Struthio camelus: one gene and its partner. The protein of the gene in region 1 interacts with the protein of each later gene in a biochemical or structural test. Links are inferred from orthologs where the notes say so. Each region holds a gene or a part of one and is shown in the gene's direction. Other genes may lie near its edges.

Region 1 (7,710 bases):
ATAAACTGTAACTACCATATGTTTTACAGATACCCTTTGTGCTGGGCACAATATTGATTATTCAGGGTATTTATTTATCGTCATATGAAGTCTGTGTTGTAAAAATCTTCAGTGTTGAAAGGTGAACAGTCATTGGCTGTGTTTGCTAAAGGGAGTATAGTCTGTGCAGTGCCAGTCTGCTGTGAGGTGCACGGTGTGCATGCAAATAATAAATATGAGACAACAGTTGCCTGTTATAAGCTTTTATGGCTATGTTTATTCTGAATGGTTGTGTAGAATATCCTGTATAATCTTCAAGAAAGCATTGTATGTGCCAGAATAGTGTAATTTCATACACTTCTAATCAGCATCTTCTAGTTTACTTTTGACATCTTGAATAGCTGACTTGCGTTAAATGGCTGAGTAATGCAGACATAAGGGTAATAATCTTATTAGCAAAGTCAACAGTGTCCATGTTCCGGACTACTGAATATGTCTGAGTCCTGAAGGTAAACGAGTTGCCTCATAAGCTTAGTTGATGGGGTTGGAGCAGCCAAACCTGGGCTGCTGCCCAGTCTCATTTACAGTGTACTTGTTCTAGAGAAGCAGTTCAATACCTGAATGACTACTGGTGGGTTTTTTTTTTTTTTTCCATACTTAGTTTTGTTTCAAGCATTAAGAGTTAAGTCAATAGCTGGCTACTTTTTATTTATTTTGTTCTGGTGCTAAACTTGCATGTCTGGGTGACAGGAAGGCATCCTGAAATGCGAAATACTATGTATGCCAGGAGATTCCAGACAGGGTGAGAAATACAGTTGCTAAGGGGGAGGAGGGAGCCTCTCATCAGAAAGATGAGGCTGTTTAAAAGAGCCGGGATAACAAACAGGATTTTTTTTCCTACGTAATTTCTTTTTACTATAACGATGGCTCTCAATTTTAAAGTGGACGTAGACAAAACTTCTCTAGGTGTTGTCTCTTAAAACAGTGTTTTTGGCTTCTTTGCTTATATTCCTATAGAAGTTCACATTTTTTCCTGCTCTGTGGTGATAAAGGCATTGGTTACTGTATCCCCTAACCATAGGTTTATGCCCTGTGTAGAGTCTACTTTTCACTTCAGATCTGTAAGTTTAAGGCTCTAGCTGGAAAGCTGCAGTGAATCTTGCAGCAGTGGCTTAGGACTGTACTCCTTCAAGCTGTTTGTTCTTCCTCTCTTTTGGCATCAGCCTCACAGGGATGGTGCATTTATATTAGGAGGAAGTGGAATTGCTGAGATGCAGGCATATGTTCACTTCTGTCATGGAAAGACAAAGGAGCCTAGCAGTCAGCTGGAGCCAGTAAGGGCCTCAACTGGTATTGTTGTTTACTCAGTACACATGGGCATGCGGTGTAAAATTTTTGTGCAGAGTATTAGCTCTCAAGCCTGTGAGCTAGGACTCTTGACCATGTTATAACATCCTGGCATCACAAACACTTTTAGGTTGTGAGCTCCCAAAAGAAGCAGTCTTGACTTTCCTTGTCCGTTCTAACCCCAGCAGATTGTTCCTGTGACAGTTCTTCCCCTTTTTGATTAAAAATACATGAAATTAATCCCTTATTTAACAAGATCTTTTTCTGGGTGAAATTCAAAACGTAACAGCATGAGGAAGCTAAAGGAAGGAGTGGTGGGGGGAGGCAAGAAGGAGGCAAAGAGACTTGGGGGGGGAAGGAAGGAGAGTGACATAGCCACTAAAATGAGCTGGTGTATGCCCATTTGAAGTGCTTGGAAGCTGTGGCTTTAGTGTTAACTAATACAGGCACTTGTTAGCCTCAAGCAATATCTCCAGAAGGTGAGAACCTCTTATTGCAATGAGGTATTGATTCTGGAATCTGGGGAGAGTCACACTGCCAAATCTCAGTCAATTACTTGCGTGGACTCTTCTAAGATGTGCTTACCCTATAATTTCTACCCCTGCTCCTCCAAGCTTCCATTGCCTGTGTAGGGCTTGTACTGAATGCATAAATAACTAATGTGTTTTATTGCAACTACAGTGTCATCTATTTTTATACTCTTTCATATCAGCATTTATACAGTTCCTATAAGCACTATTTTGCTCCAGTAGCATGACACACGATCTCAGAACCTTACCCTTGGGTTTGGGTTGAGCTCACTGTGAGCCAGTCATAAGTGCTGGTCCCTGATGTTGATGGATTTTTTTTTCCCCCTCTTAAAGTCAATATTTAGTTGTTTATCCTGCTCTTGATACTAAAGAAACTCTGTTTTAGGGATTATGCCAGGGTAATGCTGATGCCTGCCAGGATATGCCTGACCTCAGCAAAGCACTCTGGGGATGGAGCTCCTAATGCAGTCAGAGTGCTCTGTGCTATGAGGACTTTGTGCAGAAATATAAAGGAGCACGTGGGCAGAGGAAGAGGGCAAGTACGGATGATTTTCCAGAACCTCACTGGCTTCTTCTGTAGTAAAGGAATTCTGTCTTCAAAAGGTATTGCTCAGTAACCCTTCCTCCATCAGGGAAATCCATTTGCAAGATGCTAAAACTGACAAATAGCCATGGACTGGAACATTAAGGCGAGGGAAACACTGGATGTGTTTTCAAAGCTGTGTAAGCAGCTGTGGTTCATTGATCTGCTTGATGGTGCCGGAGCATCACACAAAGTCAGCGTTTCTCTTATCTCTTTCCCTATCATTTAGCACAAAAGGTCACCTTTGTAACTCCCTAGTTAAGACTCTTCCTCATGACAAGCATCTCGCAAACATGGCTGACAAAATTTTGCCTGCTGTGGAAAAAAGTGTCTTAGCTTTGAGGGACTGTTACATATTCCTCATGTTGGTTCTTGAGCTCTTATTAATCAACGTGATTCAGAGCCTTGTGCCTTTGATATACTTCATTAGGTGGTCTTTCTTCAGTACTGTCCTCTTTAATATATTTTTTAAGAAATGACAGTGTCTGTTTTTATCATCTGCAGCATATTTCAGTGGAGAAATCTCAAAATATTCATGTCGTGGGCCTTAATGCGTAATCTCTGGACTTCATATGGAGTTCCATTGGAAAGTTTACTTGTCTGGTTATGCAGCTTGGAGTCCTGTCTATGACTTGTCTACTTCGAGGAGTTTGCTGACATAATAATATAAGCCTAGAATGATAAATTATAATACATTATTATAGTAAGTATTAAGCTGGCAGTCAAGTCAGTTCTCCTGTGTGTGTCTAAGGTGGCCAAAAACCCTTGTCCGGGTAGATATTGAGGACGTGGCCAGGTTTTACAAACCTTTGATTGTCTTAAAGGAGAAATACTTCTGAGTGGGACGCCACATGGCCAGAAACTGCAGATGAGTGGCACCTCACTTGGGGTTACTGTGCTCTACAATCATGTGCAATAGTATAGACTACTGCTACTTTGTGTCGCAGTACCTACCTGCTACTTTCTGAACACGCATTCCCTACGAGCATGTTTCAGAAGAGCGTTTGCTAAGCGCGCCCAGACCGTCTGTATGCCTCATGCACAGTGGTTCGTGCCTGTAAGCTTTTTTTTTTTAAGCATATGCAAAAATAGTTACATGGCCATAGCACTATTTCCTGTCATCTGCTACTTAAACTTTGAATGTAGTTAGTAAAAGGTGTCCTGATAGGTCTTGGGAAGTGTTTGTTAAGACTGATTTAGGACAGCCTCCTCCTTGCTGGCATACAGAAATGTCCTCCTGAGGGAAGACTGTGGTTACTGTGGAGGACCAGTCTCTCCCTAAGTGCATATTGCACTAGGCCTGCACAGAGAGCTCACTGGAGGAGTAATTGGTGGAATAACTACGTTATTGTTGTCTTAGACTATAAAGGGCCGTGACTTTTTTTTTGTTGTTTGTTGAAAATCGATCATGGAGGAGACATTATCACCAGGCCAACTTTTGAATCTAGCCTTCTGACTGCAAATCTAAAAAGAGAGGAGAGCACCGAAAAGAAGAAGCAGTAGCCTGGGCACAACATAAAATTGTCTGACAAAAATTAAGCAGTACTATTAAGAATATAACTTTCAAGAGGGTGTATAAACACAATCCGTCGCTGCTTGCGGCGGGAACGGCAGCTTGTTTCTGTTAGGAAGCCGTGTCGGTAACGAAAGACTGTACGCGGAGTCTTGCTGCGACCGTTACCAGCAGCGCTGCGCGCTCTTGCGCCGGCTCGGCCGGGGAAGCCGGTTCAGGCCGCCCTCACCAGGCGTTAAGGGCTCCGCAGGCCCCGCGCGCCGCCGCGTGCGCACGCGCGGAGCTCGGCCCCCAACGGACGCAGGAGCTGGTGCGCATGCGCTCGGCACCCTTCCTGGTGCGGGCCCGCGTTTCCAGCCTCCCTTTCCTGCGCGTGCGCGGGGCCGGGCGCCGCTCGCCCGCCGCCCGTGCGCCGTGACGCCGGGCCGCGATGACGTGCGGCGCGGTCTGCCCCCGCGGCGGCGCCGGGCGGCGCGGCCTGCGTCACGGGTTTCGGCGGAGGGGGAGGCGGAGCTTTCGGTGGGCAGCAGGAGCGGCGGCGGCCGCGGGCGCCTCACGCCTGCAGGGACCCCCGCGGCGGCGGCGGTCGCGCCAGCGGCGGAGGGCGCCCCCCCCCCTCCACCCGCCTCCCGGCGCCGCTCGGTGCTCGCCTCCGTGCGCTGCCGGGCTCGGTGCGCGCCGTCACCCCCCGCCGTGCCCTCGCGCGGGCAGGCCCGGGCCCCTTCCCCCGCCGGGGGGTGGGCTCCGCTCCGGAAACCTGGCCGCTCCTTCCCGGCGCTGCGCCGGCCGCCGCCGGGCCCGCGGCCACCCCCGCTGCCGCCCGGCCTCCGCTGTGACACAGGTCGGTGCCTGGGGGGAGGGGGGGGGGGCGCGGGCGGCTCGGGGCGGCCCGAGGGGGAGCGGGCCCGGCGGCGCGGCCGGCCGCGGGGAGGCCGCCGGGAGGCGGCTCCAGCGCCCGGGAGGTGCCCGGCGGGCTGGCACAGGCCGCACCGAGGAGCGGCAGCGGAGTCCCCGCCCGCGCAGGTGGAGGACCGGGTACAGGTCCGAGGTGTCGGGGAGGGTGGACGCGTTAGAGGTATTTACGCTCCGACTGCCGGATCTTAAGGGTTTTATGAGCTGTATAAATATTTATAGGTGACCATAAGCGTCCCTGTAATCGCGCGCCGATACTGTGGGCTCTTAAATTGTTCCGCAGCGAGAGCGGTGCCGTGAGTTGGGTATGTGGGTCAGATGCTGCGCGGTGATTTTGTCGGGGGGAAAAGTGAACGTTAGGTGGCTCTTCCCTCCCCGCTTGTGAGGCGCCGCAGTACCCACGCGATTCTTCCCTGGCTTCCTCTCTTTCCTCGTTAGTATGGTTTTAATGGTTGGTTGTGGAACTATTGAAGATGAAAGCGTTAAATAAGCTGAATGTTTCTGGGCTATATGGTATCACTGAAATGTTCCTTGAAAGGATGGTAAAAGATAATGGAAGCCTGCCTTGAAGGAAGAGGGGTTTTATTGCATGCAGAAAACCTTTTTGAACTGTGAGATTTTTTTTCTTTAAACAGTGCAGCATGTTGCAGAGTACAAGAGGCCTTCCAAAATGTGTTCTTATGTATGTGGCAAAGGCTTAGTATTTGCAGAACGAATGTCTACATGCTTCTCTTGCAAAACATCTTGGAGTCCCTTGTGGCGTAGCACTTATTAGCAGAATACCCTAGAAAGTGTGCTTTCTCTTTCTTATGGGTTTCCTTTATGGATAGCTTTAAGGGAACAGGGAGTGATGAGTTAGTATATACGCTACATTGCAAAACTGAAAAGAATTTTCTTGTAATTTTTTTCCTGCTCTGAGATTAAATCCTTCACTGCCATTTGAAAATAACAGAAATACTGTAAGAGAAATTTTACTTTGATGTGTTATTTGTATTTGATGATGATGTTTTTTAAATAGCTCTTTCCTCCAAAATACAGTTACATTCATAAAAGAGAACTCATGATTCTTGCACTTTGTCTTATGACATAGTTGTTATTGAAACGTGTCGAACCTGATTATTGATTCAGGTAATGATGCTGTATGTAGTTCACTTGATTTTTTTTCAAAGAGTTTATTGTATTTTGATGAAGCAAAATAGTAAACTAGTATTTGTCATGCTGATTCTGCTGGAAAAAAATCTGAGTGCAGTCTGTCTTGATAAACTCAGTGTCAGTGGTTTGCATGGCACTAATGGAAGACTATGGTAAAGAAAACCTGTTTTTTGGATAGCCTGCTGAAATTTCTGAACTGTCAGAGGAAACTTTTTCTAAGATAGCTGTTGCAGTTGAGAACCTTGAGAGCTTGTATGGTATGTGTGAATAGGTAGATGTCTGCACAGGTAGGGAGAAATATGTAAAAATTTCCAACCTGTAGCATAACAGGAGTGTTGTTTTTTTCTCTGATGTTTAAAACTCTGGTTAGAGGAGAGCATACATAAACATATTTTTTCAGCTTTATGTTGATAAACCTCTAGATACTTTATGGTAAAAGTATCACATTTCACGTTTGGTCATAGTTTTGTCATTGGTTCTTTCATATCAGTCTTAGGAAAGATGGAAAATGTGTGGACTTACAGAATTTAAAGCTGATTGAGGTTAGATACAAAAGCCCGGTTTGTTTTATTGTAAGGATATAGTTTTCTTTTGGAGAAGGCAAGAAAATTAGTCATGTTATAAATCTAATTCAGATATGTAATTTAGGTTTTGTATTTTTTTCTTATTTTTTCCTCAATTGCTGTTGATATTTAGGTATAAGTTAGATTTAAAAAAAAAACAAACTTATCATTTATTGATAAAGGTTTATGGAGAATTTCTTGAAAAAGCTTTGTATAGTAGCAACGTAAGTTTCAGTTGCTAATTCTTTTTCATGTATATTATCTTCACTGCAGGCTGACTTTTTATATTACAAACTAAGTCAAAAGTAATGAATAACATGTAATTTATTGTTGTGACAGATTGTTCAGTGACTCTCTAACTGGAGCAGTCTTTGGACTGAGAGTAATGTCTGCTTGTAAAATACATCATGAGAGCAATAATGGAGTGACTTCTTCCATTAATTCACCCTCTCTCACCAAACACATAGCCAAAGGTGTTCTGATCTGTCAAGGTATGCGTAGTTTGTGTGGAGTAAAGACCAGACTTTGTTACAATTTCTTTTCAAATCTTTGCAGTTAATGCTATGCTCTTTATGTAGACTAGTATTTGGGAAAAAATCAGTAATGGAAATTGGTGTACCTGATCAGTGCAATTAATTACATCTTGTTACCTTTTGTAGAACTTGTTTTCATATATGTGATGAGCTAATGTAAATATGTATATAGACTAGTGACTCTACCTGGGCTTATCTAGTTAGCCAGTAGTTGCTTGCTGTCCTGAAAGCTTAATTTCTAAATTTTAACTTTTAATATTCTGAAAGAAGAACCCACAGGCTATTACCAAAAAAAAAAAAAACAACCCTCAAAGAGTTCTACTGATAACACTAATTTCTCTGTGGGGAAGGAGGGTTTGTTTTTAATGATAAGCACTGAATTTCCAATTATAAGATGCTGGAGTATTGTAGTGTTACAGAATAGGTCAAAGTAGGTCATGTATGTTATAATTGCATATAACTTGCAAAAAAGTATTGCAGGCATCATATAATTGGGCAGTGGGAAAGCATTCAGAATGTAGTGTGCTAGTTGTAATTCTTACTTCTGGGCCCTAGCATGAGATCTTGACTTAGTAATGTATTGATGAGGGTAGATGTA
Region 2 (7,234 bases), on another chromosome or scaffold:
CAAACATAGGAAATCCAAGTGAAATTAGGGGTAGCTGAGACGCAGCAAATGGAACAGTCAGTTACTCACAACGTTAAGCAAGACTTTTAACACTTTATGTAGTTGTTCCCATTCATAAGACACCAAACAGACCAACAGCTCTACCTATTTACATAAAACTTTATGTTTGTATAGAGTTTGGCATGATTCGTACATTTGAATAAGTCATAAGTTTTCCTTGCAGGATGGCTGCTCTTCACATTTTTCTACAGGATTGTTCTTGTCCTCGTCTCTTGGTTTATGGGATCTTATTTTTATAGTGATTGCAGATAAGTCTGATGTCATCACAACCCTTTGCTGCTCCCATATTTTCAGCTGCAGAGCGTAGTAGACATATACAACGGCTTTTATTTCTTTGCCACAGAATCCCATTCTGAACCTTAAGAGAAGCCATCAGCCAAACTGAGTCGGCAATGATTTTGCTTGATTTTTATGCATGCACTCTACAGATTGACTCAGGAATGTTTACCCATGTGTAAAAGCGCTGCTTAAATTGAAAACTCGGCTTCTAAAGAAAAGCAGGAAATAAATGCATAGTGCACTATGGGTGTAAGTTTTTTGGAAGTCTTTGCTAATAACATTCAATGCTTCCTGTGAGAAATTGTCTGTAGGAAAAAAAAATTAACTATTTGATTCATGCTTCCCTGTAAAGATGTGAGATTATCATTTTTGTGTAATTATGTCTCAGGCATTATTTTCATATAAAGTACACTTACAATTCTTGTCCTTCAGTTAAGAAATTATGCTGACCTCAGCTTCAAAAGCTTGTTCATGCCATCTGAAGAAAATGTATATGTTTGAGGCAGGGAGCAGTCAAGAAAGTTATAAAAACTAGAAAGTTTTTATAAAGCTCATAGTAAAAAAAAAAAAAGCCCAATAGGTAAAATCTGTCTGTGTATGAAATTTATTATGAATTTGTGCTCAAAATGCTTTTGCTTTTTTTTCTTCTTTTACATCTAGGAATCATTAATTTTTAATTAGCTCACCATGTTGAAGAGACTCTTACGAATTCATAAAAGATCCATCTGTGCTTATAAGCTTTCAACCAAAGCTATTTGATACGTACCCAATATCTTTAGTGATACAGGTTTTGTATAAGTTCGAAACCTTAAATTTTGTAATTAGATCCATGTTTTGTCCCCAAAAAATTCATTTCTATGTCCTGCTGGCTGGAATGAGTATTGGACATTTATGGCTAAAGAGCAGAATTTGTATAGGTGTGTGGGTTATTTCATTACCGCAATTCCTTTTTAAAATTCATGTTGTGGAACACAACTGTCTTGAGATAGAAGAGCTAAACTTTACAATGTCTCATCTAGAGGCAACAAGGAAATATGACTAATTCAGCAGCATCAGCTGCAATTAAGTGATAATTCCCACAAAAATGCCTCCATTACATGCCCTGACAGCTGTCTGTGCGCGGAATGATGTCATGCATGCTCCAGTAAGCATCAGGAAGTCTGACCTGTTTAGGTCAGTGGCTGACTCGATCATTTAAAACCCCGTAATAATAGCAAGGATTAATGAAACTAAATACGCTCAAGTGCCAATTGAACATTTATTGGGCCATATTAGTGAACATTTATAGACATCATATCACTACGGCTTGCTGCTTTTTAGAAAATTCAGACTGATGTTTCCCAAATTGCCTTGGTGAGGCATTCAGTTGTTCTCCATTGCTCAGAGAGGATGTTGCATGGCTTGACCTAAAGAAACTAGTCTATAAACCGTAGATGTAGATATCAAGAGATAGCTTTCAAGCCTCTTCTTACAGATGTTGAAATATCCAACACTGCATCAGCGAAAACATTTATGCTCTGCTTCAGAACTTATCTATACTAGAAAACCCTCTATTACTATAATTATAGGGTCTTATCAACATCAGCCAAAAGTTCTTTGCCTGCTGTAGTTTATATTACTGTCCAGCTTAGGCAGAGCTGATGAAAGCCCCCTTCTTTAGGGACAGCTGCTTTTACGCTTGGGTTTTTGGCAGAATAGCTGTCCTGGCTAAGGTTGCAATTTTTTTTTTTTTTTGGTGAAAGAAGGGCTTTATTTCCTTAGACCCATTTTTTTTACTTTGTGGGATTTTGTTTCTCTATTGGACACATGAAGTGAGAAAACTGGAATTTTCTTAGAAAATTGGGAAAATAATGAAATCTACATCCTGCATAGTGTATTTGTATTAGCCCTGTCCTGAGTGCCCTTTCTGCAGTTCTTATGTAGGACTTTCTGTTTTTGGCATATGTATATGTTTCTACTTACATTTTCTGCATATATTGTTTGACCACCCAAGAGGTAGCCATTAACTCTTGTTATTATTACGTTATGGGATTCCGGCAATGTATCTTTAGAAACTCTGTGACCACAAAACAGCATACGCTGCAAGACAGGAGACCTAACAGGGGAAGGAGTATAGCATATAAGCTGAATATAGAAGTGGTGGTTTAATATTTTAGTCTATTAGGGATAAATGTCACGTGTCTCACAGGATCATTGTAGTCAAATGCTATGTTTTCTGACAAGTCTGCTTGGAGGATTACAGTTAAGCATAGTAGTCCACTTAACTATTTAACAGAAAGCTAGATTGTTCTCAGTTCTTTTGTTAATGAATTACATCACTGCAGCATTTCAGAAAATGTCTAAATATATTATTCTGTGAGAATCCAGTGGCTTCATCTACCTTGGTTTTTCCCAATGGTAGTAGTCTTCCCAGCAGTATTTTCGATGTGCATATTTTCACTTTTGACTACCCTACTACAGCTGAAGGAAAGCAGTTGTAGATTAAAATAATTGTTCCTGAGAACAGAACTGAGTGTGTTTTAGCTTACATTGTAAGCTGCTCTGCAGGACTTCTACATCTGTCTTGCAATGTGCCCGTACTCCCTCTATTGGCATTATAAGGAAAATCAGACTAAGCCTATCCACCCGTTGAGAGCATTCAACCCCCATGACATACGCGATCTCTTAAATGAATGAAAGCTAGGAAGAATCAGACAGGAAGCACTCAGCATCTCCTGTGCTTTGGCCATTTCAGAGAGGTGCTCTTAGTTAGTTGTGTTTTGCTTTTCCCATCTCACTTATTTGGCATCTGTTACAGATGGGTCCAAATGACTTCCGGAATGCAGGTGGTGTGCAGCACTTGCTCCCCAGATAACCCGAAGGAGCTAGAACACAGCACAGGGCCATATCTAGCACTGCTTGCTTATAATCAGAGCACAGCGATATCCACAAATGGATCCAGAAGCCAACTCATAAGGCAAATGTCCTGTTTTGTGAGGGTATTTGGCAGAATCATTGCCCTAACTGTTCCTTTGTGAGCCAGCTGTTCAATACTTCAGTTACGCCAAGTAACGCGCAGCCAATGAACGGAAAAGCACCTAGTCTTCTACAGCGAGTGGGTGTATATCTGGTGAAGCCCCTGCCTAGGGGATCTGACTTCCCTAGGCTGTTTGAATGCAATCTTTGTGAAGAAGCGTGTCACTAGCAAACCTTGAAGGGGCGCCACAAAACGCGTACAATTTTTCCTACGCAGTGCACTGAAAGATGCAACGACCTGACTACGTTCAAGCACATGGAGGACAAAACAGAGGAGCGCTTCAGTTCCCCGCGACCCTCCTGGCAGGCTCCCCCTTTGCTGGCCTGGCAACTAGGCTGCAACTGGGCCCCAACTGGAGATCGCTGCCCCACGGCCCTGGGAGGTGCCCAACCAGGTCATTTCATTACTTCTACTCTGTATAAAATTGTAGAGTTCCCACTCTGTCTACGCTCATGTCATTTTTACTATTGTAATTTGTTTCCACCTCTGTGTCACTTGTTAAGGCTGGGTGACCACTAAAATGAAGCAAAAATAGTGCTGAATATGGCCAGCGCGGCACTTTAAACTTTATTATCACTTGAAGTTCTTTCTGAAGTCGGGCTGTTGAAGGCGTAAGATTTAAGTGCCAAAGGCCATTTTGTAGAATTTCCCATCTGTTTTTTTAACAGGATTGATGACCAGAAATGTTCTCTCTCACACGCTCTTTGAAAAGAACTGGAGAAAAATCAGCATCCTCCCTACCTGTAACTGCCCACCGCCGCTGCAGTTAGCGAGCTCCTCGCTCCGGCCAGGGCCGCAGGCCCCCACCCTAGTGCGGGGCGCCGCGGCTCTGCCTTGCGCTAAGATGGCGGCGGCGGCGCCGCGTCACGTGGCGGCGGGCGGGAAACGGCCGCGGCGCCGCTCGGCGGCAGCGCGGGAGGGAGGGAGGCGCGATGGAGACGGCGGCGCTGGAGAAGTTCCCGAGCCCGGGCAAGGGCAGCGGCCTCCGCTGCCTCAGGCGGGTGCGGCCCGGAGAGCTGCTCTACCGGGCCGAGCCCTTCGCCTACGTCGTCACCAAGGAGCAGCTGGGCGGCATCTGCGAGCGCTGCCTGCGCAGGTACCGGTCGGGGTCGGGGCCGGGGTGCGGCGGCCGCTTCTCCCCGGGGAGGGCGCCGCGCCGCCCCTTCCGCCGGGCACCGGGGGCAGGCGGCTGAGCGGCTGCGGCCGGGCTAACGGACGCCGCGTGCAACTCCGCCGTTTCCTGTTCCCCTGGACCCCGCCCCGTGCTGGGGGAGAGCCGCCGCTGCGTGAGGCGGCCGCACGCCGGCGTTTCCGCGCTGGTGACGGGAGGTGCCCGCTTGTTGTGGCCGAGTCCGTAAACCTGGTGGAAACGGCAGCCGCCCAGCGGCGTTTGGGCGGCGGGTCCGGGTCGGCGCTGCGGGCAGCGGTGCTCGGGACGGCCGGGCCGACGGCTCACGGCGGAAACGCACCGCCGCTGCGGGGCGCCTGCTGGCTGCGCCGGCCCCGTTTGAAGCGGCCCGCTGCGGCCCGGGTCAGGCCGCGAGGGTGGCGAGCGCCCCAGCCGTGTGGCGGCGCGGGTAACCCTCCCGCCCCTCCACCCCCTCCCTGTCCTGGCCGCCTGTAGCGATGGCGACCACGAGTTAGGCACCGGCAGCGTTTCTGAGGAAGAAGCAGCGTTGTTAGCCAGCCGGAGCTGTGCAGCGGTGCGGTGCCTGCAGGCCCCCCCCCCGCCCCCCGTTTTGGGGGCGGGGGGAGAGAAGGGGCGCAGATTAAAGCCACCCGCAGCCGAGAGCAGGCGCTGCCCCTGAAGGAGGTGCGCTGTGGGAGGTGGTCGAGTTTCCTGCCGGCGGGGTGTGCTGATGCGTTGTAAGGAACCACACGGTTTCGCGACCCGCATCGAATAAACACCTTTGTTCTTCCCCCAAATCCGAACAAGTGAAAGTGGAGAAACCCAAAGTAGCTTTCTGTGTTTATTAAAAAAAAAAAAAATCCTCAAACCCATGAGTGTCTATTTTCCACCTTTAACTAATTTTCTAGCAGGATTGATTGTCATAGCCCGGTTTGCAGCAGAATTTGGGATTATTTTTATATTCCCACCAGAGCCTAGTGTCATATCCTTACAGGGGTTCTCGGCTTCTATTTAAAGAAATAATGCTTATTTTCGAACCTTATTTTCTCTGGGAGGAGTTTGACAGCGTATGCCAGGTCACACTTGCATCTAACTTCAGCAGGTAAAAAGTAACAACAAAAAAGATCTTTAGCTAATCCTATATCTTAGAAGTCTGACTCTCGACTTCAGAGGGCTCTGGTGGTGGTGACTGGCTGTTCCCTTTCAGCTTCAACTAGTGAGAGATTGTAGAGGGCAGCATGGGTGCAGCAAAAGCTGGAATGAGAATGGTAGTTGCATTATAAGAAATATAACCAGGGCAAGGTTTGTTGGGAGACATAGTAGTTTTACCAACTGATAGGTTGTGAAAGGTTATGCATTTGAAAGTTTGTCCTTTTTTAATAATGATATCAAATTAAAAGTTAAATTAAGGAAATAAATTTTTTTCACCAGACTAGCTTCCATTGCAGAATGAATGAAATGTGTAGATCCACACATAGGGTTTTGTTTTGTTTTGTTTTTTTAAACTCTTAACATAAATTTAGAGAACTATACCTGCTGAAGTGGCAGCAGGTGGCAGTACAGGAACATAAATGCAAAACCAAGCCAAACTGGTCTTGTGCTTGAAATTGTTCTAGTGTTTTAGCAGCCTTATTAGATGCTAGTATTTGAGGTTTTCTATTACAAAATGCAATTCTGCGCTGATTTCTGTCTCCCAGTTTCTATTACCAAGTGTAGTAGGATGCAGCTTTTGGCTGTGTGAGACGCAAGAAGATTGGTTATGATGTGCAGAATCTTTTATTTCTGGATTGCGTGCTGAGAAGCAGAGTGGTCTAGACTGGATTTGGGGTCACAAACTTGCTTTACTGCTGACTTAACCTTGGTTGAGTCCTTCCAGTGTGGGTTTGAGATCTTGAAGCAGGGTAAGGAAGGCTGCTTGGTGGCAGACTTTGCTGCTGTGACTCAAGAGATGCTTGGCTAACACAGTAGTCCTCTGTGCAGCCATATCTAAAGTAAAGTGAATTACTGTGAATTTAAAGTGTTTCTATACATAGTTAGTACATCTACTTATAGAAATTCTAACATCCCTTCCTCATTGCGCTGTTGGCATCAGTTAAAGCTTTTGCTCGTTGTTGCTAAGGTATGTAGACCAGATGGTGGATTTTGGTAACTGTCTCTCCTTTTGTGCTTTCTTACTTTGGAGATAATTCTGTGTTTTCTGATGAATGTGTTCATGGTAGGTTTTTTATAGACGGCAAAAATTATCTGCTATAACTGATTTAATAATGATAGCAGGTAGTGTAGTTGTTTTGAATTATATCCCATTAGCAATTCAAAAATGTACTGTCCTGAAGTACGACACGTAGTCAAGGTTTGATCAGAAATATAATTTTTGATAAAGAACAACAGTGTTTGTAGTTGGCAGTTTGCGTTTCCATGGAGTAAACGTCCTGAGAGAAGACATGAGATTGTGTTGCATCATCTTACCCCCTTTGTAAAGAGGTATCTATAGTACTAGGAGGAGTACTCCAAATTTGCTGAAATCCTGCTGTTTGTGCTTTTGTGGAGTTATGGCAAGATCTGGATGGCCAGCATCTCTCCCCAACAAACTCATTGGGGAAAGCAACTTAAAAGATTTTCCCTCTTCTATTAACCAAAGATGCTCTATATAACTTTTCTCCATGCTTTAGTACCTCTTAAGGTGGATTCAGTGGCAGTTCAGCTCTAATGCAGATTTACATAACAGGGGGTTGAGTTCTGTAAGGAAAGCT

The links. The genes of interacting proteins can lie anywhere in the genome.
Region 2: the proteins of MAP3K2 (region 1) and SMYD3 are reported together in a solved structure, tested with the Homo sapiens proteins (2 studies listed by BioGRID and IntAct, with this or other methods). The link is inferred for Struthio camelus from reciprocal best matches to the Homo sapiens genes MAP3K2 and SMYD3.

The regions. Positions count from the first base shown.
Region 1 is NC_090947.1:29,829,760-29,837,469, forward strand, and holds the start of MAP3K2 (mitogen-activated protein kinase kinase kinase 2), read left to right. Parts: upstream 1-4,657; 5' UTR 4,658-4,793; intron 4,794-4,931; exon of another isoform or gene 4,932-5,027; intron 5,028-7,710. UniProt on the Homo sapiens protein: Component of a protein kinase signal transduction cascade. Regulates the JNK and ERK5 pathways by phosphorylating and activating MAP2K5 and MAP2K7. Plays a role in caveolae kiss-and-run dynamics.
Region 2 is NC_090944.1:100,072,830-100,080,063, reverse strand, and holds the start of SMYD3 (histone-lysine N-methyltransferase SMYD3), read left to right. Parts: upstream 1-4,220; 5' UTR 4,221-4,287; coding exon 4,288-4,451; intron 4,452-7,234. UniProt on the Homo sapiens protein: Histone methyltransferase. Specifically methylates 'Lys-4' of histone H3, inducing di- and tri-methylation, but not monomethylation. Also methylates 'Lys-5' of histone H4.